Linked DNA regions of Canis lupus familiaris. The protein of the gene in region 1 interacts with the protein of each later gene in a biochemical or structural test. Links are inferred from orthologs where the notes say so. Each region holds a gene or a part of one and is shown in the gene's direction. Other genes may lie near its edges. The genes, in order: SORBS1 and FLOT1.

Evidence for each region.
Region 2: the proteins of SORBS1 (region 1) and FLOT1 form a complex in vitro, tested with the Homo sapiens proteins (2 studies listed by BioGRID). The link is inferred for Canis lupus familiaris from reciprocal best matches to the Homo sapiens genes SORBS1 and FLOT1.

The regions. Positions count from the first base shown.
Region 1 is NC_049249.1:9,237,565-9,252,548, reverse strand, and holds the start of SORBS1 (sorbin and SH3 domain-containing protein 1), read left to right. Parts: upstream 1-7,365; 5' UTR 7,366-7,509; intron 7,510-10,729; exon of another isoform or gene 10,730-10,953; intron 10,954-14,984. UniProt on the Homo sapiens protein: Plays a role in tyrosine phosphorylation of CBL by linking CBL to the insulin receptor. Required for insulin-stimulated glucose transport. Involved in formation of actin stress fibers and focal adhesions.
Region 2 is NC_049233.1:659,349-674,144, reverse strand, and holds the start of FLOT1 (flotillin-1), read left to right. Parts: upstream 1-6,966; 5' UTR 6,967-7,106; intron 7,107-7,128; exon of another isoform or gene 7,129-7,250; intron 7,251-7,399; 5' UTR 7,400-7,413; coding exon 7,414-7,456; intron 7,457-7,757; coding exon 7,758-7,833; intron 7,834-7,918; coding exon 7,919-8,009; intron 8,010-8,247; coding exon 8,248-8,391; intron 8,392-8,514; coding exon 8,515-8,634; intron 8,635-8,724; coding exon 8,725-8,820; intron 8,821-9,044; coding exon 9,045-9,197; intron 9,198-14,775; coding exon 14,776-14,796. Other genes in the region: IER3 (radiation-inducible immediate-early gene IEX-1), read left to right, coding at 5,431-5,640, 5,721-5,981. UniProt on the Homo sapiens protein: May act as a scaffolding protein within caveolar membranes, functionally participating in formation of caveolae or caveolae-like vesicles.

The DNA.
Region 1 (14,984 bases):
ACTGAGGGGAGAGGGAAATGGGGATGGCCTGGGCAGTAGGGGGATGATTGCTGGTAGGTATAGGGTTTCTCCTTGTGGTGATAAAAATGTTCTGGGATTTGATTATGGTAATGGTTGTATAACCTTATGAATATGCTAAAAAAAAACCACCACTGGATCATATACTTTATTTTTTTATTTTTAAAGATTTTATTTATTTACTCATGAGAGGCAAAGAGAGAGAGAGGCAGAGACACAGGCAGAGGGAGAAGCAGGCTCCATGCAGGAAGCCCGACATGGGACTTTGATCCCGGGTCTCCAGGATCACGCCCTGGACTGAAGGTGGCACCAAACCGCTGAGCCACTTGGGCTGCCCTGGATCATATACTTTAAAAAGATAAATGCTCTGCTACATGGAGTCCATCTCAATTTTTAAAAAATTTTCTAGAATACTGTCTTGTAAATTTTTTTTAATTTAAAAATTTTCTAGAACACTGTCTAGTAATTGCCTGTGTATTTATTGGTCTCTCCCAGTAGCTTGTAGCATCTTGAGGATTATTCTCTGGTTTTTCAGCACTGAGTAGAGGGACTGGAACACAGTAGGCACATGATATTGGTTAACTGAATTATTTGAGAGTCCTCTTCCCACAATGCCAGGGCTACCTGATGGCTCAGCTCCCCACTCTCAAGGAATCACCTGGGGGTTAGAAGCTCTCATCCAAATATAGAATACTCTGGAACCAAAGAGTGGAGCAGCTTATCCCAGCAGTCTGAATACCAACTGGTGGTATCACATTGTTTAACTCCATTGAGCCTTGTCTTAGGGTCACTGAGTTCAATAATGGGGCTGGCACTGACCTCCCAGGGGTCCTTACTATCTTCTTATTGGAGGGTTCACCAGGAATAATAACTTCCTTCTTTGAAGGTGGCAGCTTGGGTTGTAACAGATTTTGGGAACCTCATTTTAGCATGCTTTCTGGTTCTGCTCTACTTCTAATCAGGGTCAAATGAAGGAGTCCTTGGTTCTTTCCGCCTAAGGGAGGAGATCGTTTTATCTGTCCACTTCTCTCTTGTATAAAGTACAGTTACCTTCAATCCCTTGGCTGTAGAACACAATTCTTTCAGATTATCTCCTTCTTACAGGGCCAGATAAGCAGGTAGGCCACATAAGCACCGCTGAGATAGCCAGTTTGAAGAGGGCTCCAGATATCCCTGGAAATAGATGACTTTCTGAGACTTCTTGTCACAAAGAGCTGTTGTATGCCTGGGTGAATCGCTTGGTTCTGCCTGATGGAGAAACAGATGGTAAGATCCCTAAGGGAATGGCACGATGACTAGAGGTGGTCACTAAACTGCTATTCACAAAAGTGGGTTGAGGTGACCCAGGTTTAGGAGACAGGGCAAACAAGTTTGGGGACAGAAGAGATTTGCTGAGGTCATGGAGAAGGGGCTGTTACCTGGTGGGCACACCCGCCATCTTTCCTCCTGCCCTTTCCCCACACAGCACTTGGCATCTCCCCTTGATAAATGCTGACAAAGAGTTATTAACCTTCCCAGGGCATCTATGTGACTCAATTTGGCCCTATGTAATGAGTTCCTTCAGTGAACTCTTCCAATCACCTCTGACAAGCTTCCAACAGCTTCCAGAATGTCAGTTATTCCCTTAACACCATTGTTGTTGATTTTTTAACCTTGTTAAGGTTATAGCAGTTTAGTGAGGCTAGTTGCCCTGTTTCTGAAATTGTGTATTTTTTTTTTTTTTTGGCCTCAGGACATTCAATGATCTCTCTTCGTCTTACTTGCCATCGCTCTTACTTTCTCTTGCTCTCCTTGAACCACCCTCTTTTTCCTCCTCCCTCCTTGTTCCTCCTTCTTGGCTTCCTCTGTTTCTCCAGCTTCAGTCAGAATGCCTGTCTCAGAGTTGGCAGCTGGATCCACCAACCTTAAAAGTGCTTTCCTCAAGGAAATACTTCATTGCCTAAATTACTTCAGAGTAGTAGAACTTCTAAAGTAAACCCAGCATATTCTAATCAATGAATCCCTTGCCCAGTCAGATGGCCCCTCTTCTTCTCCTCCAAAACTCCTGACCTAGTCAGGCCCTCCCATTAATTCAGTGACAGTGGACAGACATGTGTTTCTGTACTTCTGATTTCTCTCAAAGGTCCACCCAGGTCAATTGTTTGACATTTTAAATGTCTTATTTTGACTAATTGCAGAAAAAAATTCTCAAAACCAAACCATATGTACTTGGTCAAATACAATTGCATTGAATTAGAATTCTATTCTATTCCGTACACTTTTTTTTTTTTTTTTAAGGAGAAGCAGGCTCCATGCAGGGAGCCTGATGTGGGACTTGATCCTGGGACTCCAGGATCATGCCCTGGGCTGAAGGCAGACGCTAAACCGCTGAGCCACCCAGGTGTCCCCGTACACATGTTTTCATCCAAGAAACAACACAAGATATGCTGGAGCAAGTATTTTTATCTTCTATATTTTTTAAAGATTTATTTATTTATGGAGGGAGAGGGGCAGAGGGAATCTTCAAGTAGACTACCTGCTGAGTGTGGAGCTCCATCTCACAACCTGAGCTGAAACCAAGAGTTGCATGGATGTTCAACCTAATGAGCCACCCAGGTGCCCCAGAGCAAGTGTTTTTAGATTGATAAATGGAAGTCTGTCACTAGACTCTTGGGGTTACTGGTTCATGCTCATCTCAGTGCTGCTTTCTAAGTCATCACCATGGCTCCTCTCATTTCTGGTCCCATAGACTTCTGACCAACCTCCACCCATTTCATCAAACTTCCCTAAGGCAGTATCTGCCAGTCCTGACCTCCAAAGAATGTGGAATTCTTGGGTATGGCCTTCCCCTATCTTCAAGTCAGTTCTGTGCCCTTAGGCATGAGAGTGAAAACTCACTTTTTCTCAGTAATTAACCAGCAAGAAATAAGAGAATCTTTCTTTCTTTCTTTCTTTCTTTCTTTCTTTCTTTCTTTCTTTCTTTCTTTCTTTCTTTCTTTCTTTCTTCTTTCTTTCTTTCTTTCTCTCTTTCTTTCTTTCTCTTTCTTTCTTTTTTCTTTTCTTTTCTTTCTCAAATATTTTATTTATTTATTCATGAGAGACACACAGAGAGAGGCAGAAACACAGGCAGAAGGAGAAGCAGGCTCCCTCCCTCCTGATGTGGGACTCGATCCCAGGACCCCAGTATCACGACCTGAGCCAAAGGCAGACGCTCAACCACTGAGCCACACAGGTATCCCAAGAATCTGTTCTTTAAGAAAGTTTTGCTCTTTCCACTACTTGCTTCGCTTTCTTCAAGATGTTACAAAAGAAACTAGGTACAAATGGTCACCAGAGCTTTAGTGATATATCAGCTAAACTCTTTGATACATAATTCCCTTTCTCTTAGCCTATTTTCTTCTCCCCCATCCTGGCTTTCTCCAGCTGATATTTCTGAAAGTGATTATGGTTCAGCTTTTGGGTAACTGGGGAAACAAGTTAACAAAGCCAACACATTTTAGGAAAGCATCTCTCATGACTTGGCCTCCTAGTAATATTAGTAATAATATCCACTTACCGAGTGCTTATGCGTCAGGCAGTGTATAAGCACTTTATATGCATGCTTTCATCTACAGCTCACAAGTAAACCTTGGAGGGTTGTGTATTCCTCACGTTGCAGACGAGGGACCCAAGAGCTTACATGAGATTCCATATTAGGTGTTGGAACCAGGATTCCGTCCACAGGCTTAACCACCATGCTCACTGCCATCTCTAGATCGTCTTGTTTACTTCCCTCTCCTGCAGTCTGTGTGACCCTAAAGATGGAGGAAAGGCTGACAACTCTGGCATTTCCTCTGCAAAATTCTCTCTCTTCCCCTAATTCCTCACAGTTACGGCCTGCTTGGGGGATGCTTCCTACAGCATGTTTATGATGCCAGTTTGTGTGCTCAACTCTCCTGCCTGATACTGTTATTTCTCTCCAGCAGCGGAAGGACTGCTGGGAATAATCTGATGCACATGAAGAGAAAACGAGGAGTTACTAATAAGATTAAATTAAGTTTAAACACATTTTTAACAGTATGTAAAGCACAGTGCTAAGCACTGTTGGAGATGAGCAGACACAAGCCAGGACCTCATGGAATTTACAATCTGGTAGGTAGAGAGGATGAAGAATAGGACTATACACATATGTACGTGAGTTCATGCCAAATATGGTAAATTCCATGAGGAAGGAATAAGTGAAGGACTGTAGGACTGGAAGGCAAGAATGCTCACTTTCCCTGGGAACCAGGAATGAGCATGTGATATTAAGATATGGGATGAGATGGGGTGCCTGGGTGGTCCAGCGGTTGAGCATCTGCCTTTGCTTCAGGGTGTGATCCTGGAGTCCTGGGATCAAGTCCCACATCGGGTTCCCTGTGGGGAGCCTGCTTCTCCCTCTGCCTGTGTCTCTGCCTCTCTCTCTCTCTGTGTCTCTCATGAATGAATAAACAAAATCTTTAAAAAAAGAGAGAGAGAGATGGGACGAGAATGGAAAGCCCTGAGCTCCAGGCTTGGTTACTGATACACTGAGAACGGCTTGGTGTTTCTCCTTCCCAGGACAGGCCCCAGAATTTACAAGACACAGTACAAAATAAAAATGTGAGGCCCCTCACTTGACATGAGGCATTTCAAGATGGTTATAAACCAAGAGCGGGACCCTTCTCAGCACAGGGCGGACACCCACGGAGCTGGCCTTCCCTGCCGCTGCTTCCTCAGGGGTTACCTTTGGGAGGTAGGGAGTTGGGTCTCACCAGCCCAGCAGCACAGGGCCCGAGACTCAGATGAGTCAGTGAATGACTGGAGACAAGAATTAATTGACACAATTATGCCTGCTGATTTCTTGGGTGACTTTCAGTGTTAAGATGTTATTAGACCGTGACTCTGAATACTTTTTTGGAGGAGACATTTGAAATGAGCCTTGAAAGATAGTAGGATTTTTCTTTCTCTCTGTTTTCTGTTCTTCTCTTCCTCCTGTCCTTCCAGTATTTTTCCATTTATCTGAAAACATACAGGCTGGAACCAGCAGAGTTTGATATCTGAGGGATGACTCAAAGACTTAGACTTCACTTAAGATTCCTCAAGGCACTTTCCCACTTATAGCGATGGCCTTGTCTATATAGAGAATTTCCAGAGGTACAGTCCAGTTTTGCATTTTATAATTATTTTGTTTTATTTTAATTAAACAATTTGATAGATGTTTATGATGAAAAAACAGAGATGAGCAAAAAATAATTACTTGCAATCCCATAGAACTCTAATGGGATTGCAGTACTAAACTAGCTTTCAATCTACTTTCCTGTCCAATAAGGTATTTGGTACACCTTTACGGGTCAGGGTCATTTTTCATGGCTGTGTGGTAATCTGTCATATGGTTGTACTGAATACATATTCATATGCAACTAAAACTGGACATTTGAATTGCTTTGATTTTTTTTTTTCTATTCTGAATGGCGTTGCCCTGAATTTGTGAGCTAGGCAACTTATTTAGTTTCTCTACCTATTATTTTCCTCTTCCGTGGATAACCTCAGGATAACAATTGGACTCCATCCCCAGGGTTGCTGTGTGGTGTGAACTAATGCATGTAAAGCTCTCAGTGCAAGTATAGAATAGTGCCTAGCAGACTAGATGTGCTTGATTAAAAGTCATGTTATTACTTTACAGGCCCAGAAGGAACTGCCTTGTCTGGATGGTGGAGTAAGCCAATCGTGGAGCCTGGGAAGCCTGATTCCTGATCTAGTCTTCTTTGCAAAGCAGCAGGACAAGGTGAAAGTGGAAGGAGACATGGGCTGGGAGCTCCCTAGACTGAGTGGTTTCCTGGTGGCGTCTTGTCTCCTCAGCTGTACAATAAGCTCCCAGGTGGCTATGAGTGTTCTAACTTTTTTTTCTTTACACAGAAGAGGACAGCCGATGCTCAGCAAAAACTTGTCACCGTTCCTTGACATCTAAGAACCTTAGCAGATGTGTTTCCTATCAGCCCATGCAGTCATTAAGGCCTGTCTTTACCTCCCCACATACAGCTTGTTAACTGGGAATGTGCTTTGGCTGAAGATTCTTGTCAATGGCAGCTGACAAAAGTCAGTTTTGTTCAGCCCAAGGGATGACTGCTCTATCTTGGGGGATGTCTCAGGGATGCTAGAAGCTAGGCGTGGCTGCTTGCGGCCCTGAGACCTTGGGCAAGCAACTTCCCCTCTCTGATTCCTTTTCTGTAACACTGAGCGGGTATCGGAGGAGGTCAGGGTGTCCAGCAGTTAGCTCTGAATTCAACCTAACAAAGGACGCTTCTCTTCCTTGCATATTACCTTCTCTTATTCTATTCACTCAGTTTCACACTGTAGTGATTTTATTTTTTCACTTGCCTGTCTCCCTTACTAAAATGGAAGCCTCATGAAGGGAAACTTCACTGATTTTTGCTGTAACCCCAGGGCCTATCACATGCCTGTCATGGAGTCCCTAAACGTGTGTTGCCTGAATGAAATCTCCGCGCCTGGGTTCAAATCCCAATTGCGTTGCTTTCTCTGTAATCTTGAGCAAGCCATATAAACCTCAACGGTTTTTCCACTTGAAAATGGGGGTGTGTGTGTCTGGGTGTCTCAGTGGTTGAGCATCTGCCTTTGGCTCGAGTGGTTATCCCGGAGCCCCGGGATCGAGTCCCGCAACAGGCTCCCTGCACGGGGCCTGCGTCTCCCTCTGCCTATGTCTCTGCCTGTCTCTCTGTGTCTCTCATGAATAAATACGTAAGAAATCTTAAAAAAAAAAAAAAGAAAAGAAAATAGATTAGTGACAGTGCCTTTGTGATGAAGCTCTGATGACCAAATGAGAAAACATCCAGGAAGCATCAAGGACACTGGTACAGAGTATAATTATGACAGTAGCAAACATCTACGGCCAGGCACTATCTAAATGCTTGACGCAGGTTAAGCGTGTTCATCCTCACTGCATCCTACTGTTAGACCATTTTACAGATGAGCAAACTGGGCACAGGGGTTCAGTAGCACATGCGCTCAAGACAGGTTGGCTTTTGTCTTTATGCCCCGGGTTCCCTCCCAGCTGTCCGCGGCGGAGCCCTCGGAGGGGCAGAGGGCTCGCGGGGCCAGCCTCGGGGCTCGCCGACCGCCGGCCAGGACAGGAAGAGTCACCGAGCATCCGCGGGCCCGCGCCCTCCGCTCACGACGCCGCGGGGCCGGGCGGCCGGGCGCTTCCCCGCCTCCCACTGGCGCACACGCCCCTTCCTGTCACGGCCGGCCCGGCCCCGCCCCCGGCCCCGCCCCCGGCCCCGCCCCCGGCCCGGCCCCGCCCCCCGCCCGGGCGCCGCCGGAGTGGAGGGTTCCAGACGCATGCTAATGAGGGGGCGGCCGCCGCAGCCCATTGGCCGGCCGCGGAGTGTCGGTGAAGTCAGCGCCGAGTCCCAGAAAAACAGCGCGGGGCCAGCTGCGGCGTGTAGTGCGAGTGGGGCAGGACGCGCGCCGCCCGCCCGCCCGGAGACCCGCAAGGTAAGCCCGCGCCAGCCGCCCGCTCGCCCGCCCGCGCTCGCCCGATCGGCGGCCACGGCGCGGGGGGCGTGCGGCGGCCCGGCCCCCGCGGGCGGCGCCTTTGTTCCGCGCTCGGAGCTCGGAGCTCGGAGCTCGGAGGAGGCGCGTTTAAAGGGCCAGCTGTTGGAAGGACTTGGGGGACGCCCTCCGCCAGAGCATCCTCCGCGGTCACGGGGAGAGCCGTGGTTCCCCCTCGGCCGGACCTTCCTTCCTACGCGGTGGACCCCCTGTCTCTCCAGGAAAGTTCCCCAGGGTGCGGGGGGGGGGTCCCCGGGATTCAGGTTTTGTTTTATTTTCGGTGGGTGGGGGTTCGTACGATCATGGCCACTGCTAGGAGACAACGTCCGCCTGCTTCAGGCTGGCTGCAGTATGGGTGGGTGGAGGAGACATCCAAGCCCGGGTAGGTCTGCGCTGTAAAGTGAAACTACCGAGGAGGGGCTCCTCTGCAGCAGCCAGAGGAAGAAGCCGGGAGCGAGCGGCAGGATGGAGGCGTCCAGGTGTGTTCATTCATCGGCATCCCCCGGACCGGAGGGCGGCAGGAGGTGCGCCAGGACGATCCGTCTGGCCTACGACCCGCCTGAAGGAGCGGGGGTGTGTGGGTCCGGGGACTCGGTGCCATCCGCCCGAGCCGCTTCGTCCCCCGGAGTGACGGGCATCTTGCTAGGCAGCTCGCCACCGACAGGGACGGAAAAGCAACTCCTTTCCCCGAATTCCCGGGCCATCCCTGGCGCCCACCTGGCTGCTTTCCGATGTGGCTTCCTTGATGAGCGGTAGCGCCATTCAAGATTGGGGGATGAGGCTTGAAGTCATTGTGTACCTTCCATGGGGGAATGTACTGTCGAATCCTGCATCTCCCCTGTATCCGCTGCTGTAAGATGGCTTTGAAATTCACCAGCGCATGCTTCCTTTGGGCAGACAGAATTTATTACGCTATTACATTGCTACATAAAAGCAGAAGGGATCCCACTGAGTGTGGCTTCTTTTATCCAGACCTTGGGTTTGCCCAGCATGTTCTGGTTGAACCTTTGGATTTTTGTTTTAAAATGAGCGCTGGGATGCTCCTGTTGTCACAGGGCCGACCTGCTGAAATTGCCAGAATTGATTTCACTGCCAATAGGAGGGAGGTTCATTTAGAGATATCATGGAACCTATCTGGCAGTCAGGCCTCTGACATCACCCCCCCCCCCCCAAACCTTCGCATCCTTTTTCCTCTCATAAGTGAAGGCCAGGGATGGCTTGTCTGTCTCCACTCTCCTTGGTTTTCAAGTTCCTCTATTTAGATTCAGTTTATTTATTTATTTATTTTGATTGGAAAGGCAGCTTGGTGGTGATTGAAGAGAAGGGGATGGTTTAAAAGTGGGGTGGGCAGCAGATGGGGACAGCAGCCTCAATGACAAAAAGCACATGCTGGACATTTGGAGACTCCAGATCTACAGCCCTTAGAGACACAGGTGAGATAGATGGCTGTCTACCCACTGAGAGGTGTGTGTGTGTGTGTGTGTGTGTGTGTGTGAGCGAGCGAGCTTGAGGGAGGGGTGGAGGAAGAGGATGCTGCCAGCAATTTTCTGCCCCACCCTCTTGATGCTGCCTTAAATAGCTCCTTGCCAGCCAGGCTCTGCTGTCTCAGGCTCTTGGCCTGAGGGGATGGCAGAGAAGGGTGGGTCTGTTGGCACTTTTGCTCTGGGCACTTTAGAGTGGACGGTTAGCAAAGGGGGTAGTTCTGGGGTCGTGGAGAGCTCATTTCTCAGCTGGAGGGCCCAGAGTTGAGTTGTCTCTGGTGACTTCCCCTCATGGAGTATACAACTGAAAAGAAATGCTTTCTACCCTATAGGGCAAAGATATGGAGGGTATTGTCATTTTCCCTTCGACCCTACCCCCTGTTGGCCCTGTCTTTTACCTGTTCTCTTTCATGGTAGTTGGAGAGTTTCTGTGAACTTTTTTTAAGGGATTGGGAATAATGGGGGAGGGGGGAGGTAGTGAGGTTGGAGTTCTGGGAAGGGATGAGCAGATGCTTCTTACTGGCAGAACAAAGAACTGTTCAGCCTCCTTAAAATAGGGTTCCATATAGATAGTGGAGTCTGGGGTTTTCTTTGCAGAGCATGAATAGGCAGGGTTCAGGAAAGAAGGCTTTTATTAGGCCACATTGGTCTGGTCATCCAAACTTAGCTCTGGACCCTTCTCTGGACATGGAAATAGATTTGCTGTATAGGGCACTCACTAGTCATTTGGGATTTAATCTGTCTGTAAAAGGAAATGGATGGTCCCAAAAAACTTTGGTGGAGGAGCTCTGGACCAAAGATAGGACAGCTGGCTTTGAGCCAGGGCCACCAACCTGCTTTGGGATAGTGGCTTCTACTCTCTGGTCTGTGTGCTTGTTGGAAAAAAGGTGGAAGGCTCTGGAGGGTTCCTGACAGCGTTACTGTTCTTGGATTCACAAGTCCAGTTTGTAAGAGCATTTTAAGATTGTTTTGTTTGTTAAACGATGTTAAATTCGTAGTACTGCTCAATGGCATGAAAGAAGTATTCCAGGACTCGGGCTTCTGGTGGCTTCAGACGTACCTTTTCTTTGATTAGTATGATTTATGAGGATTTACTGTACGTCCATAATTCAGAGCCAGAATGGCCTGGAGTGGGAGGCACAGACCTTCTGAGGTGCGGTGGGCTGGGGAGACTTGAATTGGCAGGATGCTAAGGAAAAAGAGCCTCTAGAATCCATTCTGTCTTCCTGTGTATGTTTAACTCCCTTCTTTATTTATGATTATACAGGTGAATGTTCAGGGATTTAGAGTATGAGCCTTGGAAGAAAACCCTGATTGCCAGGTTTCACATTCCCCTCCCCCCCACTGAGGAATTTGAGGGATTGGGGAAGTTTGGTGATTTGTCCAAAGTCACACAGGTAGCAAGATGCACAGCTGGGGCAGGAGGCCAGGCGGGGAGTTTCTAGGTCCTGTGTTCTAGATGTAGTTCTTATTCCCTCCTCCTCTGATGAGATTCTAAAATGGGATAGAGAAAGTGAGGAGGAAATGGGGCTGAGGAAGGGAGAGATTGGAGGCAGGTCAGGTGGAGAAGGGGAAAACACAGCCTCCAAACTTGGAGGAGGGAGGGATGGAGCTGAAATGGGGCTCTGCCAGCGGTGAAATCAGGTTTCGCCAGCTCTTGGAGTGAAGGAAGAGAGGAGAGGCTTGACTTAGAGGATGGAGTGGGTGGACCGAGAGGCCTGTCGGGGCTGGGGCTGATGTGGGGTCTCCTTAAGACCTCTCCCGTTGACCCTCCAACCGCTGAGTGTGGGAGAGGCTGCTTTGTTTTAGGGTCAGCTGAGCTGAGGCCTTTGGAGCCACTGGGGTACATGGAACCTGAACATGCGGGAAGTCAGGTGTGCTGCTGGTGATGCAGGAGAATGCTGAGGTGAGACCCAGTTATGCTGAAGTCCCAGGTTTTTTTTTGTTTTGTTTTGTTTTGTTTTGTTTTGTTTTGTAAATGCAACATGAAAGAAAGTTCTCTGTGGTATTTATTTTCAACTCAAGCAGTGTTTTCTCCTCTGTCATCGGTATTTTGCATGTTTTATGGGACCCTGCTTCCCATCCTCTCTTCAAAGGGCAGGCTTGGAGGTAGCTGATTCAGGAGGTGGCTGATTCACTGAGCTGTAGCTCACCTGCGGGGAGCTTCAGGCCTGGGACAGAGCTAAAGCCTGGGAATGTTTCAATGAGCAATTAAGGAGCTGTGAACAGTGGTTAACCTGATCAGTAACCATTCAAAGGCAAGGATGAAAGGTGCTAATACTTTGAAGTCTATAGCCCAAGCCAACAGCTGGCCTGTATGATGTAGTTTCCTTTGGCTGGATGTTTTTTTCATGCCTCGGAAGTGTCTGTGGATTCCTTGAGTTGTTCCCTCTTTTTGTACATGGAGAGGCATGCGTGTCTGTGTATCTCCCGTCTTCCCATTCTTGCTTTCCCATGGCTTCCTCCTCTCTACATTTCTTTCTCTCTCCTGCTCTTCTCTTTCTTCTTACCTTCCTCCCCACCTTCTTTCTTTACTTTCAATAATAGAGCTTTGTAATGTATTTTTTTGTAATGTATTTTAATGTATTTACTGTTATTAAAATTTAATCTTCTCTGTTCTTAATTTACAGTCAGTTGAGTTCACTCTCTTTCGATGTGTGGTTATGTGTTTCACACACAAAACAAACAACCCTAACCCAATTAAATTGCTTTTTACTTCTTTATGTGTGGCCCTCCATTGATTCTGCTCCCCACCCCCCCCGGCCCCTTTTCTTCTGGGGTTGGTAATAGCTCTTTATAGAAAAAGAAATTTCCAAAAAAAAAAAAAAAAAAGAAAAAGAAAAAGAAATTTCCCAGCTCACTGTCATGTGGATATTATTGTTTTTATAACAAAAACAGTTACAACAATAGAAAAAGTTTCCACCCCTGTATTGTGGACACAAGGGACACCCTCTCCCAAGAGATGTGCCCTATTTCTTGACTTCCTTCCATGGAAAGAGTGTCTGCGATGTATTCTCCAATAGAAGGCTGTACTGTAAAAGTTCGCGGTGCTGATGGTGAAGCTGGGGCTCTTGTCTGCATTCTCGTAATGCTTAGAGTCCAAGAGGGGGGTTGGCTTAGGACCAAGAGGGTACATTTAAGAATTCATTGTGATGGTTTTTCTTTGTTTTCCTAAACTGGGCTAACCCAACTGTCAGTGTAAAGATCCAGATCGCTTTGGAAAAGAATGAGGTGTTTCTCAACTTTCTGATTCATTTCGGTTGGGACCCAGGTTAGGCACAAGGAGGGTAGGTATCCACCCACAGGTTGCAGGTGTGAAGTCCCAGGTGCTTTGATGGATGCATGCATGTTGTAGTGCTTTAAAATTTTCTTCTGACTCAGATTAATTACAGAGAAGATTGAGTCTTGGTGCTCAGTAGTCAGCAGGTAGTTTAGCATCTACAGCTGGCCTTGCAAGCAAGTAGTCACCTTGAAATCTCTAGTTAATATGTTAAAAATTCACATGAGTTTTGTATTCTACTCTATAATATGTCAGTGCTGGGTTTAGTATAAAGGTATTTGAAATGCTTTACTGTTGGGGTGCCTGGGTGGCTCTTTCAGTTAAGCATTGACTTCGGCTCAGGCTGTGATCTTGAGGTCCTGGGATGGAGCCCCATTCCAGCCACCCACTTAGTGGGGAGTCTGCTTCTCCCTCTCCTTCTGCCCCTCTCCTTGCTAGTGCTCTCTCTCTCTCTCAAATGAATAAATCTTTTTTTTTTTAAAGATTTTATTTATTTATTCATGACAGACACACAGAGAGGGAGAGAGAGAGGCAGAGACACAGGCAGAGGGAGAAGCAGGCTCCATGCAGGGAGCCCGATGTGGGACTCGATCCCAGGTCTCCAGGATCCGGCCTTAGGCGGTGCTAAACCACTGAGCCACCCGGGCTGCCCTCAAATGAATAAATCTTAAAAAAAATATGTGCGTTACTATTGAGTACAAGTGATGATCCAGGAAAATGTTGTGTTTATATTGGGCTTTCAGTTGTCCATGTCCACTTTAATTATGCACAGCAGGTCCCAAACCCCAGCTGGAGAAGCCAGCAGTGGGGCAGGCATCAGACCTGGTGGTGTGGAGAGCTGCCCACTGCCGCCAGCTCTTCCAGAACCACTGAATATCCCAGTCGCTAAGACCTCATCCACGTCCCTAAAGACTAGGTTCTCCCTCCCACCAGGGCTTGTTCCCTCACCACCAGGCCTTTTTCTGCTTTGCTTGGGTGACTCCTCCTTCTCCTTTCAGACCCTCCTCACATATGAAAGAGGTGCTTTTCTTTCTATGTTCACCAGTAGCTGGTTCCCTGTCTCTCTTTTCTACCAGATTGTGAGACCTGGCAAGATAGAATCTGTGTTTTATGTCTTTTTAAATTCAATTTTAATTTACATCAAAGTCTTTATTTATATATATATGTCTATATATGCGTGTGGATATATACTCTTAAAAGTGTATTTATATATATATACACACACACACATAAGTATATATATGCGTGTGTCTATACTTTTAAAAGTCAAGTAACACTGCAAGGCTTATAAAGAAACGCTGTGTCACCCCTTCTCATTCCAGGGATTACTCCCCAGAGTCAGTCACTGAATGAGATTTTCTATTGCTGCAGTAACAAATTACCACCAGCATAGTGGCTTGAAGCAAAATACATTCATATTTTGGTTATGTAGGTTAGAAGTCAGAAAAGGTTCTCACTGGACTAAAATGAAGGTGGTAGCAGGGCTGTATTCCCTTCTCGGAAGAGTCTTTTTCCATGTTTGCATCTTCTAGCTTCTAGAGACTGCTTGCATTCCCTGGCTCCTGGCCCCCTTCCTCTGCCATCAGAGCTGCCAAAGGCTTGTTGAATTCCATCCCATTGCATCACTCTGACTTCTCACATAGTCTCTCATCTTCCTCTGCCTCACTTCTTTCTCCCTCTTCTGCTCTTATTTTATTATTTTTTAAAGATTTTATTTATTTATTCATGAGAGACCCAGAGAGAGAGAGGCAGAGACACAGGCAGAAGGAGAAGCAGGCTCCAGGCAGGGAGCCCGATGCGGGACTGGATCCCTGGCCTCCAGGATCATGTCCTGGGCCGAAGGCAAGCACTCAACTGCTGAGCCACCCAGGCGTCCCTTAAATATATATTTTTAAAGTTATCTCTACACTCAACATGGGGCTTGAACTTAGAACCCTAAGATGAGCATTACATGCTCTACCAACTGAGCCAGCCAGGCTCCCCCAGTTTATAATTTTAAAGTCATTTATTTCTTGTTTTTCATTTTATTTTTGTTTTACTTTTTGAGAGACCTCTTCAGCTTCATTCTTAGCCCTTTTGAATTTTCAAATTTATGTTTTCATGGTTTTGCATGAAACATGCTTACATGTTTACTTTCTAGAACTCCCTAGTTTGAAGCTCACTTTTTTTTTTTTTTTAATAGTATCTTGTTCTTGTTTCATGGGTGCAGTAAGTTCACTTAGGTTAGGTTTTTGTTTTTGTTTTTGGTGTTTTTCTGCTGTTTTCTGCTTTGTCTTTCTTTCCTCCCAGCCCCTTTTTTGGCTTGTTTCGGTTATTGAATTTCCCATTGGAGGTGTTCTTCCACTGATTCTTGACTGTCCATTTATATTTTAAGAGTGCCGATTGGTCATTTGTGTGACAAAGAAGAGGGCTTGATTTCATTGTAGGGGTCCAGGAGAGAGCCTACTTTATGTTTTATTTTTTAAAAGATTTTATTTATTTATTTATAGAGACACAGAGAGAGAATGAGAGGCAGAGACACAGGCAGAAGGAGAAGCAGGCTCTATGCAGAAAGCCTGACGTGGGACTCCATCCAGGGTCTCCAGAATCACACCCTGGGCTGCAGGCGGCGCTAAACTGCTGCACCACGGGGGCTGCCCGAGAGCCTACTTTAAACA
Region 2 (14,796 bases), on another chromosome or scaffold:
TGGAGAAAAGCAAAAGCCACAAAACCTGCCTGAGTTGGAGAGGGAAGGAAGGAGGGATGAAAACAGAAAGAGAAAGTCTATCTCCTGATGATCTTAGCACTTGAAGGCTATTTGTCATCCTGGTCACCTACTCCTGGGTTAGCTCACTGCTGCCCATTTCATCTCCAAAGGAGCCCCTCTTCGTATAATCATAATAATGGCCCTCACGGAAGTGCCTAGGAGCAGTCCCCTTGGTATCCTTAATCTTCACAATAACCTTAAAGCCAATATGCCCACTTTTCAATAGAGGAGACATTTTCAGAGACGAAGTAGCTGGCCCAGTATCACGTAGTTAATAGTAGCAGAGCTAGAATTTTTTTTTTTAATTTTTATTTATTTATGATAGTCACACAGAGAGAGAGAGAGAGAGGCAGAGACACAGGCAGAGGGAGAAGCAGGCTCCATGCACTGGGAGCCCGATGTGGGATTCGATCCCGGGTCTCCAGGATTGCGCCCTGGGCCAAAGGCAGGCACCAAACCGCTGCGCCACCCAGGGATCCCCAGAGCTGGAATTTAAAGCCAGTTTCCTCTAACACCACCAGATCCTAACATGCTTTTTTTGTTACACCATGCCTCCTTTCTATCACAAATCCATCTCAAGTCAACAAAGTTACTGAGTATCTACCAAATGCCGGGTATAGCTGAGGTTTTAGTTTCCATTTCTTGAGCACCCTGACTCCAGACCTCTGTTTCCCCTTTTCAAATGTTCTCACTTCCAAATATCTGTCTTGTTCCCATTACCCTCATCCCCCATTCTAGACTTTGGTCTGCAATGTAGCAGTTATCTAGGTGGGCCATCAGGCATGATTCACTCCTTTGCCAAGGAGTGAGGGCCAGTGCTTTGCCATCCATCACCTGCACAGTTATTCTCAATTTAATGGCAGATCCTTCTGTGCCATGGTTGAGCATCCCGCATCCCATCTTTGAAGAGGAAGCATTTGAACCCGGGAGGGGGCCTCTGAAAGGACACAGCTGGGTAAACAGACACTTCCAAGGCTGAGGGGTAGCTCCTCAGAGGGGATGTTTCTAAGGATACACATTAATCCCCTACTAGGTGAAAGGCCAAGTACTGGAGATACTACCAAGATATCATGAGAAAAAGAGTGGATGTGGTCCTGTTTATTTATGGAGATTATATTCCAGTGGGGGGACACAAAACAACAACATACATAAAAATACATAAAATGATGCCCCATTGTAGCAAGAGTTCTAAGAACATGAACAAGGGGCTAAGAAGGACGTTGGTGGGAGGTCAAGATCACAGGTCAAATGAAGGAAAGGAAGGAGCATTGGCAATCTTGGGGAAGATGGAGAGGAAATGAGGAACAGTGAGAGCAGTGAAATGGAAAGGGGCCAAAGGCCTGTCTCCCCAGGATTAGGGCAGTGAGAACTGGTCCAGCTGCTGGTCTCAGCCCTGGTCCTTCCTGGCCTTAACTCATCCTCCAGCTCTACCCTCCCCCCCCCACAACCTTTCATTGGCTTAATGATTCACTCTCAACTTTTCCCTAGCTTCCTGCATGGCAAGGAGGGGGTAATGCAGAGCCTTGGCTCTCTGAGGGTAGCAGGAACAGGGATGACATTGGTTGAGAAGGAATGATGAGCAGTCTAAGATTTCTGGTTCTTCTCTGTCCCATTCTGGTCTTGCCACAAAGAAAGGTCTCTCTGTGCCAGGAGGACAGTGAAGATAACTAGGCCCAGCTGGAGGCCCTGATTCTAGATGTGGGAGGTAGTGGTGAAATAAGATCCTGACATCCCACTTCATTTCCCCTCCCCTGCCAAGTGCCCTAGAGAAATTTTCCATCATAAACAAGTTATGCATTCCTGACCTTGGGTGCCCCCCCAAGCCATCTTCTCCCATCATCACCATCTCCCTCACCCCTGATTTATATCTGTGTGAGCCTGTATGTGGGCCATCAGTACATGTAAGTAGTTCATGTATTCATGCTAATCATTGTGTAGTGTACAGCTTGCCCTGGAATAAGGGTGTAAGTAGGTGCAGGCTCACTGCTTGGGTGTAAAAACAATGATGGCAGGTGTGGAAGGCACGTATAGGGAAGGGACATGTCTCTGTGGAGGTGTGTTTTATGCTGGTCAGGAAGAAGTGTGGTAACACATGAGTTTAGACAGTAGTAATAGGTGTAAAATCAAGCGACATAGAGGCCCAGGAAGCGATTGTATATACAGCAATAATGTATCAATTGAAGCCCAATCGTGGGAATGTCCCTGTTTGCATCCCACACATCCTTGGTTGAGAAATGCCATTAGGTGTTCCTTGTTTGATGTGTGTGTAAGAATTGTCACAGCTGTTCTTAATATACTGTAAATTAAATTTTAAAAAGATACTGTAAATTTGTATGTGGGGTTTGAAAGAGTATATCCATGTCTCAAAGCTTGAGGTGACACAGCCAGGGGGTGAATACTATATGTGTGTGTATAGTTCTGTATTTTCAGCCTTCGTTTAACAAGACTGTGGAGCAACTACTGCATGTAAGGCAGTGTGCTGGGCTTTATGGAGGGCACAGACACATGTGTGACACAGCCTGTGGTGGAAGAGATCATATGTGTACTCTGTGTACACCAGACATAATACGATCTGGAGTAAAGACCTGAGCCAGATGCATTTCAAATCCCTGGAGTCAGCCTTGATGCCTTCATGCTCTCACAGTCAGCACCCCAAACTCTCCATGCTCTCTGATTCTTTTTTTTAAGATTTTATTTATTTATTTATTTATGTATGTATGTATGTATGTATGTATTTTATTTATTTATGAGAGAGAGAGAGAGAGGCAGAAACACAGTCAGAGGGAGAAGCAGGCTCCATGCAGGAAGCCCGACGTGGGACTAAATTCCAGGTCTCCAGAATCACGCCCTGGACTGAAGGCGGCACTAAACTGCTGAGCCACCCAGGCTGCCCCATGCTCCCTGATTCTAATGATTCCCATCTCATTACTAAATCCCTGTGGTCTTAGGCTAGGAAAGTTGCTTCCTGCCACTCCTCCTCTTGGCTCCCTCTGCCATGGCCCATCTCCAGCCCTTGTTACCATCCACCTGAACATTTCCAGTAGCCTCTGATCCCCTATTACAGTGTCTCCCCATGCAGGGCATACTTGTCATCCGATTTAGTTCCCAGCTTGAACTGCCTTCCTTTTATAATCTCTCATGATCCACGGAATCCAGGATCTAGTCTGGCCTCGCAGCTCAGCTCTCCACACTCTGCCCTCCTTTCCAGAATCATTACTTCCCACTACTCCTTTACAGGAAACTTACTGTAAGATTGTTTTTCTAGCAATTCCCCAAACACATCCTGTACTTTTCCAGTGCAGGGCTTTTGCTGATCCCATTCTCTTCCTCACAGTCATCTTCCACATCTGATTTTGTGGTATCCCACCCACTGTTCAAAGTCATCTCAAATGCCACTCTTCCATGAACCCTCGCCTTATTGACTAGACAGACATGAACATTCGTTGTTTTGGGTCCCTCCTCCTTTGCACTTAGTGTTCAGTTGTCTTAAGACCCTCCAGAGAGGGACGCCTGGGGTGTCTCTGGTTAAGCACGTCTGCCTTCAGCCCAGGGCGTGATCCTGGAGAACCAGGATCGAGTCCTGCATCGGGCTCCCTGCACGGAGCCTGCTTCTGTCTCTGCCTCTCTCTTTCTGTGTCTCTCATGAATAAATAAATAAAATCTTTTTTTTTTTTTTTTTAAAGACCTTCCAGAGAGTTCTCCGGGTCCGGGGTCCGGGTCCCCTCTGCATGCATACGGTGAGCCGCCTGCTGAATCTGGCTTGCCCTACTCACCAGCCCATACACTGAAACCAACCTCAGTACTTTCAAACCAACCTCAGTACTTTCAACAGGACCTTTAACGGGGTGCCTGGCTCCAGTAAAGGATGTTAAACTGTGTCCATGAGGAGCTGTCTCTAAGGCAGTTATGAAAATATGCAATTCTCTCTTAGTACTACTACCACACTTAAATAACATCTCACAGTTTAAAATGTTCTTTTCATATAAATTGTGTTAAAAAATAACAAGGGACAAATCTGATGGCAAGGGACAAATCTGGGTGGTTGCTTACCTCTTGCCTTTGTTTTGTAGCACCTTCCCTACGTGAGCATTTCTGCATACATCTATGTGGGTAGTAGCTCTGTTGTGTTGCCCCTGTGAAGTCTCTGCCCCTTTGCTCTGTGTATGTGTGTGCCCGCACGCACATGTGTTATGTGCATGTTAAAGGGGAACAGACCAGGCCACCCCAAAATGTGCTGACGGCAATCAACACCCAGCACACAAGAAGAGCTTTTTACCTCTCTCCCTTAACTGCCTAAAAGAATTTAGATAGGGGGCAGCCCCGGTGGCACAGTGGTTTAGCCTGGGGTGTGATCCTGGAGACCTGGGATCCAGTCCTACATCGGGCTTCCTGCTTCTCCCTCTGCCTGTGTCTCTCCCTCTCTCTTCACTCTCTCTGAATGAATGAATAAATAAATCTTAAAAAAACAATAATAATAATTTAGATAGGCACCTGAACCATGAAGACAGCTATTACCACAGATAACTTTTTATCAGGACAGAACAAACATCTGCCTCGGAGCATCTTCTCTTATCTTCCTGTGAATTGCCCTCCTCCCCTTTGAAGCCCCAGGCTCCTGTTCCATTCCTTAGCTCAAGATAGCATGTAACCCCAATTGCCTTATTGCCTTTGAATCTCATGGCTTCCCAGGCTCCCGAAGTATGTAATTAAACCTGCTTTTCTCCTGTTACTCTATCTTGTATCAATTTAATTATTAGACCAGCCAAAGAAGCTAGAAGGAAAGAAGGGACGTTCTTTTTGCCCCTACAACATGTGTGCTGAGGTCAGCAGCATGGTGTCTGCGTGTACTAATGTGTTCATTTCTCTGTCTTCTTGGCTATTTCTGTAACTACTTTCCTCTTGAGGTGTGTGTGTGTGTGTGTGTTTTCTGTGTGTACCTACAAGTGTATAAATGTGCGTGTGTAACTGTAATTCCTTGACTTTGCTGGGTGACTATCGTCCCAGCGTGGCCAGATTGGTCAGTCCTCCTGCCTCCCCAGAGATGGGGCCGGTGGCCCAGCCATCTCCTAAGCTATCCGGTGGTCCCTGCCTAGTTGCCACATGCCCTGACATGTGCCTGCAGCCCGGGATCTCACCCACCCCACTCCCAACCCCCACACTCCCAACACACACACACTTGGGCGCCTAGGGGTGCACAGACCAAGTCTCCACCCCCTCTCTTTGCTTAACCGTCGGAATTTCCAGCTTGCTCTGGCCATCCCTCCCGGCGGCGGGAGGAGCCGAGGAGGACCCGCCCAGGTCTGAGGCGCCCTTAATTCGCTCGGCACCGGCGCGGGTCCGCATCCGGCCTTCCGCTCCGCTCGCCGCGCGATGTGTCGCTCCCGCAGCTCCCTCCCCACCATGACCGTCCCGCGGGCTCCGACCTCCGTCTCGTCCACCAGCCCCGGGCCCCGGCGGGGCTCCGGTCCCGAGATCTTCACCTTCGATCCTCTCCCGGAGCCTGCGGTGGCCCCTGCCGCGCGCCCCGGCGCGTCCCGCGGGCATCGGAAGCGCAGCCGTAGGGTCCTCTACCCGCGAGTGGTGGGTACCGCGGGAGCCGGCGGCGGGCGGGGGCGGCCGACGCGGGGTCCCGCCAACCTGTCCCCTTGCTTGTCTCCCAGGTCCGGCGCCCGCTCCCGGCCGAGGATCCGAACCCGGCCAAAAGGCTCCTGTTCCTCCTGCTCGCCGTCATCTTCTGCCAGATTCTGCTGGCCGAGGAGGGTGTGCCGGCGCCCCTGGCCCGGGGGGACGTCCCCAGCGGCGCACCCCCTGCGCCCTCCCCGGCGCCCCCGGTCCTCGAGCCCCTCAACCTGACCTCTGCGCCCTCGGACTACGCTCTGGACCTTAGCACTTTCCTACAGCAACACCCGGCCGCCTTCTAACGCGAGCTCCCCACCTCCCCCCGAAAGAACCGGAAAACCCAAATAGACACCAGGTGTACCTGGTGCGCGAGAGCGTATCCCAAACTGGGACTTGCGAGGCAACTTGAGCGGAGAGCACGTCAGCAGAGACGCCAGCCCGCGCCGGAGACGAGCCGAGCACCGGCCCTCCGGGGCCAGGCCCGGTGCGGAAGAGCGTCATTAATTTATTTCTCACTGATCCTAATTAATATTTATATGTATTTATGAATGTCCCCCTAGGTGATGGAGGGGTGTCTGTAATATTTATTTTAACTTATGCAGGGGAGCGCGATGTGCCCCCGTGCTGTAAGCGCAGAACTCTCGGTATTTGCTGAGCTTCGTGGGAGAGGTGGAGGCGGGCGCGCAGGGCTGAAGCGCACCCGGAGGGCCGGGGAGCGCCCAGGCGGAGTCGAGGACGCCGCTGGCACGTGGGCTTAGGGGCTGGTGTTCGTCCTCCGGGGTTTCGGCCCCTTGGATCTGCCGTGTGAGGCTTCGGCGGACCACTGGGGTGAGGTCCTTGGCCTTCGGTCTTCTCAAAGTTGCCCCCAGTGGGTGGCTGGGGTGTCGGAGGTCGGCGGGCGGCCAGGGGGCGGCTGCGCGGCCGTCCAGTATGTTCCGTGAACACCAATAAAGTCGACTTCTTGTCCGTAGTCCTCCGAGTGTATTTTGCAAGCGGCGACTCCCCACTAGTCCCCGCCTCCCGGCGCCAGCGGCGAGCGGGAGGGGCGGGGGCCGCGTCCCCAGCAGGCGCTGCGCCCCGGGCGGCCGGGTGCAGCCGGGGGCGGCCTCCCAGGCCCCGCGGGGCAAACCCGAAATGAGGCAACCTCCGGGCCCGCGGAGGTCACGTCCCGCGTCCCGGGGCGGAGCTCCCGGCTGGGGGAGGGCGGCGGGACCGGGGCGGGCGCGGCCTGCCGGGAAGGGGGCGGGGCGGAGGGCGGCCGCCGGGGGAGGGGCGCGGGCGCGGGCCTGCGGCTGCCGCAGGGTGGGGCCGGGAGGGGCGCGGGCGCCTTCCGCGCTGGCTGGAGGCCGTTCCCCGCCGTTCCCCGCCGTTCCCCGGCCGCTGCTCGCCCCGGCCTGCGTGCGGGGAGGCGGGTGGGGCGCCGAGAGGTAATCGGGCTGCGGAGGGCCAGGGAGGGCGGCGCACGGGCTGGGGCCTCTAGGCGCAGGAGCGCTTTACCCGAGGATCGAGAAACCGTCCTCCCCGAAAGCAGGAAGTGGCCGTGAGCCGGCGGGGGAGAGCCCTGGCGATCGGTGGGACTTCACCGGGAAATGCCTTAGTGGACCCATGGGTTCGGAAGGGACCGGGCCCTGGTGGCTGCGGATGGGGCTAGACTGACGGAAAGAGAATTTGCTCTCCCCCAGACCCCGCCCGCAAAGGCTTTCTCTCCCTTTTCCTCCAGCTTCAGCCTGAGCCATGTTTTTCACCTGTGGCCCAAATGAGGCCATGGTGGTCTCTGGTAAGTAATGCTCTCTTCCCAGCCAGTGCCCCCAAGCCCTGTGGTCCGGCCTCTGCCCCGTACCCTTCTCCCCACCAGCTCCCAGGTCCAGGCCTTCTGTCCACACACCACCCTCCCGCGACCTCCCCATGGCTGCAAGCCACCCCACTTGTGATTCCCAGCGCTACCTAACAAGGCCTGGACTGCCTCCTCTTCGACTCCCAGATTTCCCTTTTGGGATCAACCCCCACCCCACGTTTTCAGTCTTCCGTTTTCTAGCCCTACTCCTGCCACTGCAGTCTGCTACCCCCTCACCTTGCAGGTTTCTGCCGAAGCCCCCCAGTCATGGTGGCCGGAGGACGTGTCTTTGTCCTGCCCTGCATCCAGCAAATCCAGAGGTAGGTAGAAAAGAACCAGGAAGGGGAACCCCAGTTTTCTCTCTTTCCTGTTTTCCTCACTGTCCACTCCTTCTTTTTCCCGTAGGATCTCTCTCAACACACTGACCCTCAATGTCAAGAGTGAAAAGGTTTACACTCGCCATGGGGTCCCCATCTCAGTCACTGGCATTGCCCAGGTGAGGCTTTCAGAGCCTTTTCCCCCAAAGTCCATTCCTTCATCCCCTTCTTTGTCCCCAGACATTAAGAATCTTCTGACCATGGCCTCCCCAACCTCTGGCCACAAAGAAATTTCTCTGCTAAGTTTCACCTTCTCCAGGGACTCCCAAGGCACTTAACTCTTCCATTCTCTTCCTGCTTGCTACTTGGCTTCAGGAGGCCTTCACCACACTTTCCCTATCCCTGCTCTGGTTACAGGTGAAAATCCAGGGGCAGAACAAGGAGATGTTGGCAGCTGCCTGCCAGATGTTCCTGGGGAAAACGGAGGCTGAGATTGCCCACATTGCACTGGAGACTCTGGAGGGCCACCAGAGGGCTATCATGGCCCACATGACTGTGGAGGTGGGCTTGAGGGCAGGGAAAGATCTGGGAGAGATGCCCTGAAGAACCCAGCTAGTCTGTGGGAAACAGTAGCCAGAAGACTGAGAGCCTCAGTTCCTCCTTCCTACCATTCTGTTACCCTAGGAAATCTATAAGGACAGGCAGAAGTTCTCAGAGCAAGTTTTCAAGGTGGCCTCCTCAGACCTGGTCAACATGGGCATCAGTGTGGTTAGCTACACCCTGAAGGACATTCATGATGATCAGGTAAACTTAGGTGGGGCTGATCCTCTCCAGTTCCCTGCTCCTATCTCTTAAGCCCTCCTGAGGATTCTGATTGCTGCTTCTCTTCCTCAGGACTATTTGCACTCCTTAGGGAAAGCTAGAACAGCTCAAGTCCAAAAAGATGCTCGCATTGGGGAAGCAGAAGCCAAAAGAGACGCTGGGATCCGGGTGAGCTGGATCCCATTTGAGGGCTCACTTGGTCACCATGGGCTTCTTGGGCATGCAGTGGGAGAGGGGATGGAAGGGGCACGACTGAGTGAGGACTCAGAGAGCGGGGTTGGCAGAGGAAAGAGATGAGGCCATGGGCAGGGGAGCCTGGTGAGGAGCTGGCTCTCTGCCTTGGGGCCTTCCTCTCCCTACTCTAACTTCCTCCCTGATCTCTGTGTGGACAGGAAGCCAAAGCTAAGCAAGAAAAGGTGTCTGCTCAGTACCTGAGTGAGATTGAGATGGCCAAGGCGCAGAGAGACTATGAGCTAAAGAAGGCTGCATATGACATCGAGGTCAACACCCGCCGAGCCCAGGCTGACCTGGCCTATCAGCTTCAGGTCAGACCTCTCACACTGGGCAGTTATTTCCTCTCAAGCCCTCCATTTTAGCCCTCCACACTTTCCCAGGTTCTAACTCTAATCCCTTTATTCTGGCTCTACATTTCTGACCCAACTTCTCCATATGAGGAAGATTTGAAAGACCTAAGCATTTCGGTTGAAAAGCAGAGGCCAAGAAGGGACATGGTCAGTAGGATGGGATCGTATGTTTGGGCAGACTGGGCAAGGGCCCCTGGATGAGGGGGAAAGCAGAGCTAAGGTCTAGCTGGTGCTCTGTTCACCATGCTCTGCATTCCGGCATAGGTGAATGGTGCCGCATCCACCTAGGGGAAGGGGCACCTTTTTCTGATTTCCCATGAGCTCACAGCAGCCATTTGGGGACTTGGAAATGGGGACTTGGGCTTTGAACCCTGCAAAGTAAGATATGGGCAGCCCTTGATATTGCGAGGAGGCATGGACAGTCCTCATTGTTTACAGATTCTGTATTTGAGAATTTGCCTGCTCACTAAAATTTACTGGTAACCCCAGAAACAGTACTTGTGGCACCTTTGTGATCATTTGTGGACATGCACAGAGCATTGAAAAATCTGAGTTGCCTGATGTGCAGTTGAAGGTGAACGAGATGTTCTGCCTTCGTGTTGCAGTTCTCGTAGTGTAAACAGTGTCAGTACTGTAAACACTGTCATTTTCACCGTATAGTGACTGCTACATTTTTTTGCATTTTTGTACTTTGTTGGTGATTTTGCTGTTTAAAATGACCCCCAAGCATCCCGCTAAAGCATTAAGTGTTCCTAAGTGCAAAGAGGCTGTGATATGCCTTATAAAGAAATTACATGCTTCTTTCAGGCATGGGTTACAGTACTGTTGGCAATGACTTCATTGTTAATGAATTAACCATGTATGTTGCATAAGGTATCTTTAATCAGAAACACATATAAAGCAAGGACATAATACTGATCTGTTGACGAAATGTTGTGAACAGGGGCACATAGGAACCTAACCGTATATTTTCCCTAACAACAGAATAAGTGTTTGTTAGTGCAGTATTTGTGGCTACTTTATGGAGCAGATCCACCATGAATAATGAGAATCAACGATACATTAAGACTTTTACCCAAAGGATAGCAATAGCGTGAGATTTGTTTTTGCCAAGAGTTGGTATAGGCTGAAAGGATAATGAAGTACAAAGCATCTCTAGTTATGATGTTAAATTCCTGGTGGTTTGACAGGTCATTGAGTGTGGCATAGCACTTTTTCCTCAATGTGGTCTGCCTTCCAACAGCATCAGCATCATTGTGGAGCTTGTTAGATACAAAATCTGAAGCTCCAGTTATACTAACTTAATCAGAGTCTGCATTTTTTTTTTTAAAGTAGGCTCCACACCCAACATGGGGGTTGAATGCATGACCCTAAGATCAAGAGTTGCGTGCTCTACCGACTGAGCCAGCCAGGTGCCCTTAGAATCTGTATTTTAACAAAATCTCTAGGGGATTCATGTACACATTGGAGTTTGAGAAGCATTAACATAGCAGAAATTAGCTTGTGTGGTCCTTAACCTAAATATGGCTTTCCTCCTCTGCAAATTAAAGGATTGGGCTGGTTTTGGCTCTGTTCCAGTTATACCAGTTCTTTATTTTGTGCCAGACTTTGTGCTGGTTGCTTGGGAAATAAGGACTCATTCAACAAATAGCTATTAAGTGCTTACTATGTACCAGGCATTGTTTTATTTTTATTTTTTTATAATTTATTTTTTATTGTGTTCAATTTGCCAACATACAAAATAACACCCAGTGCTCATCCCGTCAAGTGCCCCCCTCAGTGCCCGTCACCCATTCAGGCATTGTTTTAGAAGTGAGGATATAAGCATGAATGAAACAGAAAAGATGGGCAGCCCTGGTGGCGCAGCGGTTTGGCGCCGCCTGCAGCCTAGGGTGTGATCCTGGAGACCCAGGATCGAGTCCCACATTGGGCTCCCTGCATGGAGCCTGCTTCTCCCTCTGCCTGTGTCTCTGCCTCTCTCTCTCTGTGTCTATGAATAAATAAATAAAATCTTAAAAAAAAAAAAAGAAAGAAGCAGAAAAGATTCCTGCCCTCATGGAGCTTACATTTTAACACAGGAAATAACTAATAAAGCAAGTAAATAACTTTCATAGGTTCTAATTATCTTGTGTAAGTGCTGTGAAGGAAATATAGAGAGTGATGCAAAAAACAGTGGAGAGATACTATATTAGGTTGGGGCTGATCTAAGAAAGCTTCAGTGAGGAAGTGATTTATGAGATAAACTGGAAGATGAGAAGGAGCCAGCAATGTAGAGTTGTGGGCCAATAGCATTCTAGGCCATTGCTGTTCAAATAGAATTTTCTGTGATGATGGAAATGCTGTAAATTTGTGCATTGATGTTGAGTGCTTGAAATGTGGCTTGTGGAACTGTGGCTAGTGAAATGTGAGGAACAGAATTTTAAATTTTACTTATTTTAATTAATTTTAAATATAAATAGCCATATGTGGCTAGACAGAGGACCACCGTCTGCAAAGGCCCTGAGATACGAAAGAGGTTGATGTATCCCAAGAACAGAGAGGAGGATTCTGATCTGGTGGGGCTGGTATGCTGTGAGTGAGATGGCAAGGCAGGCAGGGCCAGGTCATAGGGTTCAAGTGCCCCTGTTGGAGACTTAGAAGGGAATTCAGAACCCAGTGGAAAGCTATTGGAGAACTTTAAGCAGGGAGGTGCCATGGTCTAATTTACATTTTTACGAGGATCAGTCTGACTGTTGTGTGGAGAATTGATGGTCAGAAGACAAGAGAGGATGCAGGAAGATAAGTTGGAAGCTTTTTCAAAGATGATGGATTAAATAAATACAGTTCATTGCACTCCCTCTCTAAAACCTCACTGAAACCACAGAGTGATTTTCAGAAAAGAGGAAGAAGGCGAAAACAGATGGAGAGAATAGCATCAGGATGAACAGAAAGCATGGTATCATTTTGGAAGCCAGAAAGCCATTGTAATCGACGAAGCCAGTAATCGATAAGGCCATAATCATTTTATCAGTGACGGGCACAATGTGACCATTGAATGCTAAATGCTGACAGTCTCCCCTAACTCCTTTACCCCATTTGGGCCCAAGACCCTCCATCTTCCAAAGAAGTCATCAGAAGACTGTGCTGGGGAACACAACCAATCCAAAGATCCTGAATCATAGGTTCTTCAGCAGATGACTTGTCCAGATCACCCTAGAATGAAGCCTCACCCACATGCTGGGTTTCAGTGTTTTAGACCTCCTTCACTGTGAGCAGGCCATCGAAGATTACCTGATATATGAGGGAATACTGCAATGTTAAAGTCCGAGACTGGAACCACAAACAGCAAAGCAATTTGGAGGTTATGCAGGGAGAAGAAAGCTTAAAATTTTTTTAAATGTCCTCAGTGACAGAAGAATTCACATCCAGAAAATCAGAGCATAAAACAGAAAACAAAAAAAGAGTTCTTAGAAATCAGTAAGATGACAGAAATGAGAGGGGCAAATCATATTGAAAGAAATTATAATGAATCTACAGATTTACTCATCTAATTCTAATAAATTCCGATTTTGGGATCCCTGGGTGGCGCAGCGGTTTGGCGCCTGCCTTTGGCCCAGGGCACGATCCTGGAGACCCGGGATCGAGTCCCACGTCGGGCTCCTGGTGCATGGAGCCTGCTTCTCCCTCTGCCTGTGTCTCTGCCTCTCTCTCCCTCTCTCTGTGTGACTATCATAAATAAATAAAAATTAAAAAAAATAAAAAATAAAATAAAAAAATAAATTCCGACTTTAATAAATTTATTAATCCTAGTCTACAGATTATTAATCATAAAGTATGAACAGAACAAAGAAAATGGTAGGAAAATCAATGGAAAAAATTTTTTTAATGTTTGTTCTGAAAGGTATGACTTTCTAGATTGATACTTTCTACATTGGACTGTTTCAATGCACAATACAATGAATGAAAAACAACTACACTATGAAATTTCAGAACATGGAGAACAGAGAAAGGATATAAAAGCTTCCAGAGAGAGAGAACAGATTGCACAGGGCCAAGCATCAAAATGACTTCAGATTTCTCAAGAAGCTAGAAGACCATGGAGCAGTGCCTTCAAAAATGCTGATAGAAAATGAATTCTAACCTGTACTCAATCTCATTGTCATTCAAGTAGAAAGGTAGAATAACAATCTCAGAAAAGCAAGATCTCAAAAAATGTATTGCCCATATACTTCTTCCAAGGAAGCTCCTGGGGGTTATTTCATCAAAAAGGATGCCTAAACAAAGGCAGGAGGGGCTCCAATATAGAGAGAGATCCTGCACACTGGGGTAGAGAGCAAGTAGCTCAGTTTGGAACTGGTTTGCAAATTTAGGGTCAAAGACAGCACAGGGTGCCATATCCAGAAGCACCTTTCCTCTGGGTGAACAGATGAGTGCAGTAAAGGCAGGGGCATCATATCTGCTATTGATAAGACCCACAGGGATGATGGTACATGGCTGAGCTGGAGCAGTGGGACAGGAAAGAAGCATGTTCCTCTACTGGTGCCTCTCCTCACCAAAATCTTGGCAAGAGCCTTCCGATCTCTGTACAGGAATAAGAAAATGAAATCTGCCTAAAAAGAGGAATTCTATATGTACAGTCTTGTAAATGCTTAGAATCTCCCTGGAAGAAGACGACACAAGAAGCTGGTCACAATGCTTGCCTCTGGGGAAAGGAACAAGGTAGTTTGAGGAAATAAGTAGAGGAAACCTTGATTCTCATTGTCCATTTTTTTTGAGTTTGTATCATATACAAAAGATAAAAGATATATACATGCCCCACCACCACCAAAGCCAGTAGGAAGCTATTGCAGGGAGGGTGAGTTTGGTGGTGGCTTACAAGACGGTTACAGCAGCTCATATGGAGAGAAGTGGGTGGATTTGAATGACTGGAGGTGGAAGATGCCACCGCACATCAGAGCCCTGCAGGTTCTCAGACTCTAGAGAGGGACGCTGTGGAGAAATAGACTAATACGGGAGCTCAACAAGAGGGACACTTAGCCTGGCCTGAGGGAGAACAGGGACTGGATTCCAGCCCTAGCCAGCTTTTGATGGTCAGGCTGCCTGGAAGATACCTCTGAGGAGGATCAGGCCATCCCTCAAGCCACAACTGGGATCCATATGGGAAATGGACTCCACTGGGCTGGCTGAACCCACCAGGGACTGACTTCATGTCCTTACTCTGTTTTTTTTTTTTTTTTTAAGATTTTATTTATTTATTCATGAGACACACAACACATACACACACACACACACAGAGAGAGAGAGAGAGAGAGAGAGAGAGAGAGAGGCAGAGACACAGGCAGAGGGAGAAGCAGGCTCCATGCTGAGAGCCTGACGTGGGACTCGATCCCGGGACCCCAGGATCAGGCCCTGGGCTGAAGGCGGCGCTAAACCGCTGAGCCACGCGGGCTGCCCCTTACTCTGTTTTTATATCTCACCCTGGAGCCCTTGCCCTGGCTTTTCTCTGTGGTTCCTGGGAACTTGCTCTTCAGCCCTGAGGTTGAGCATTGCTCCTTCCCAGGTGGCCAAAACTAAGCAGCAG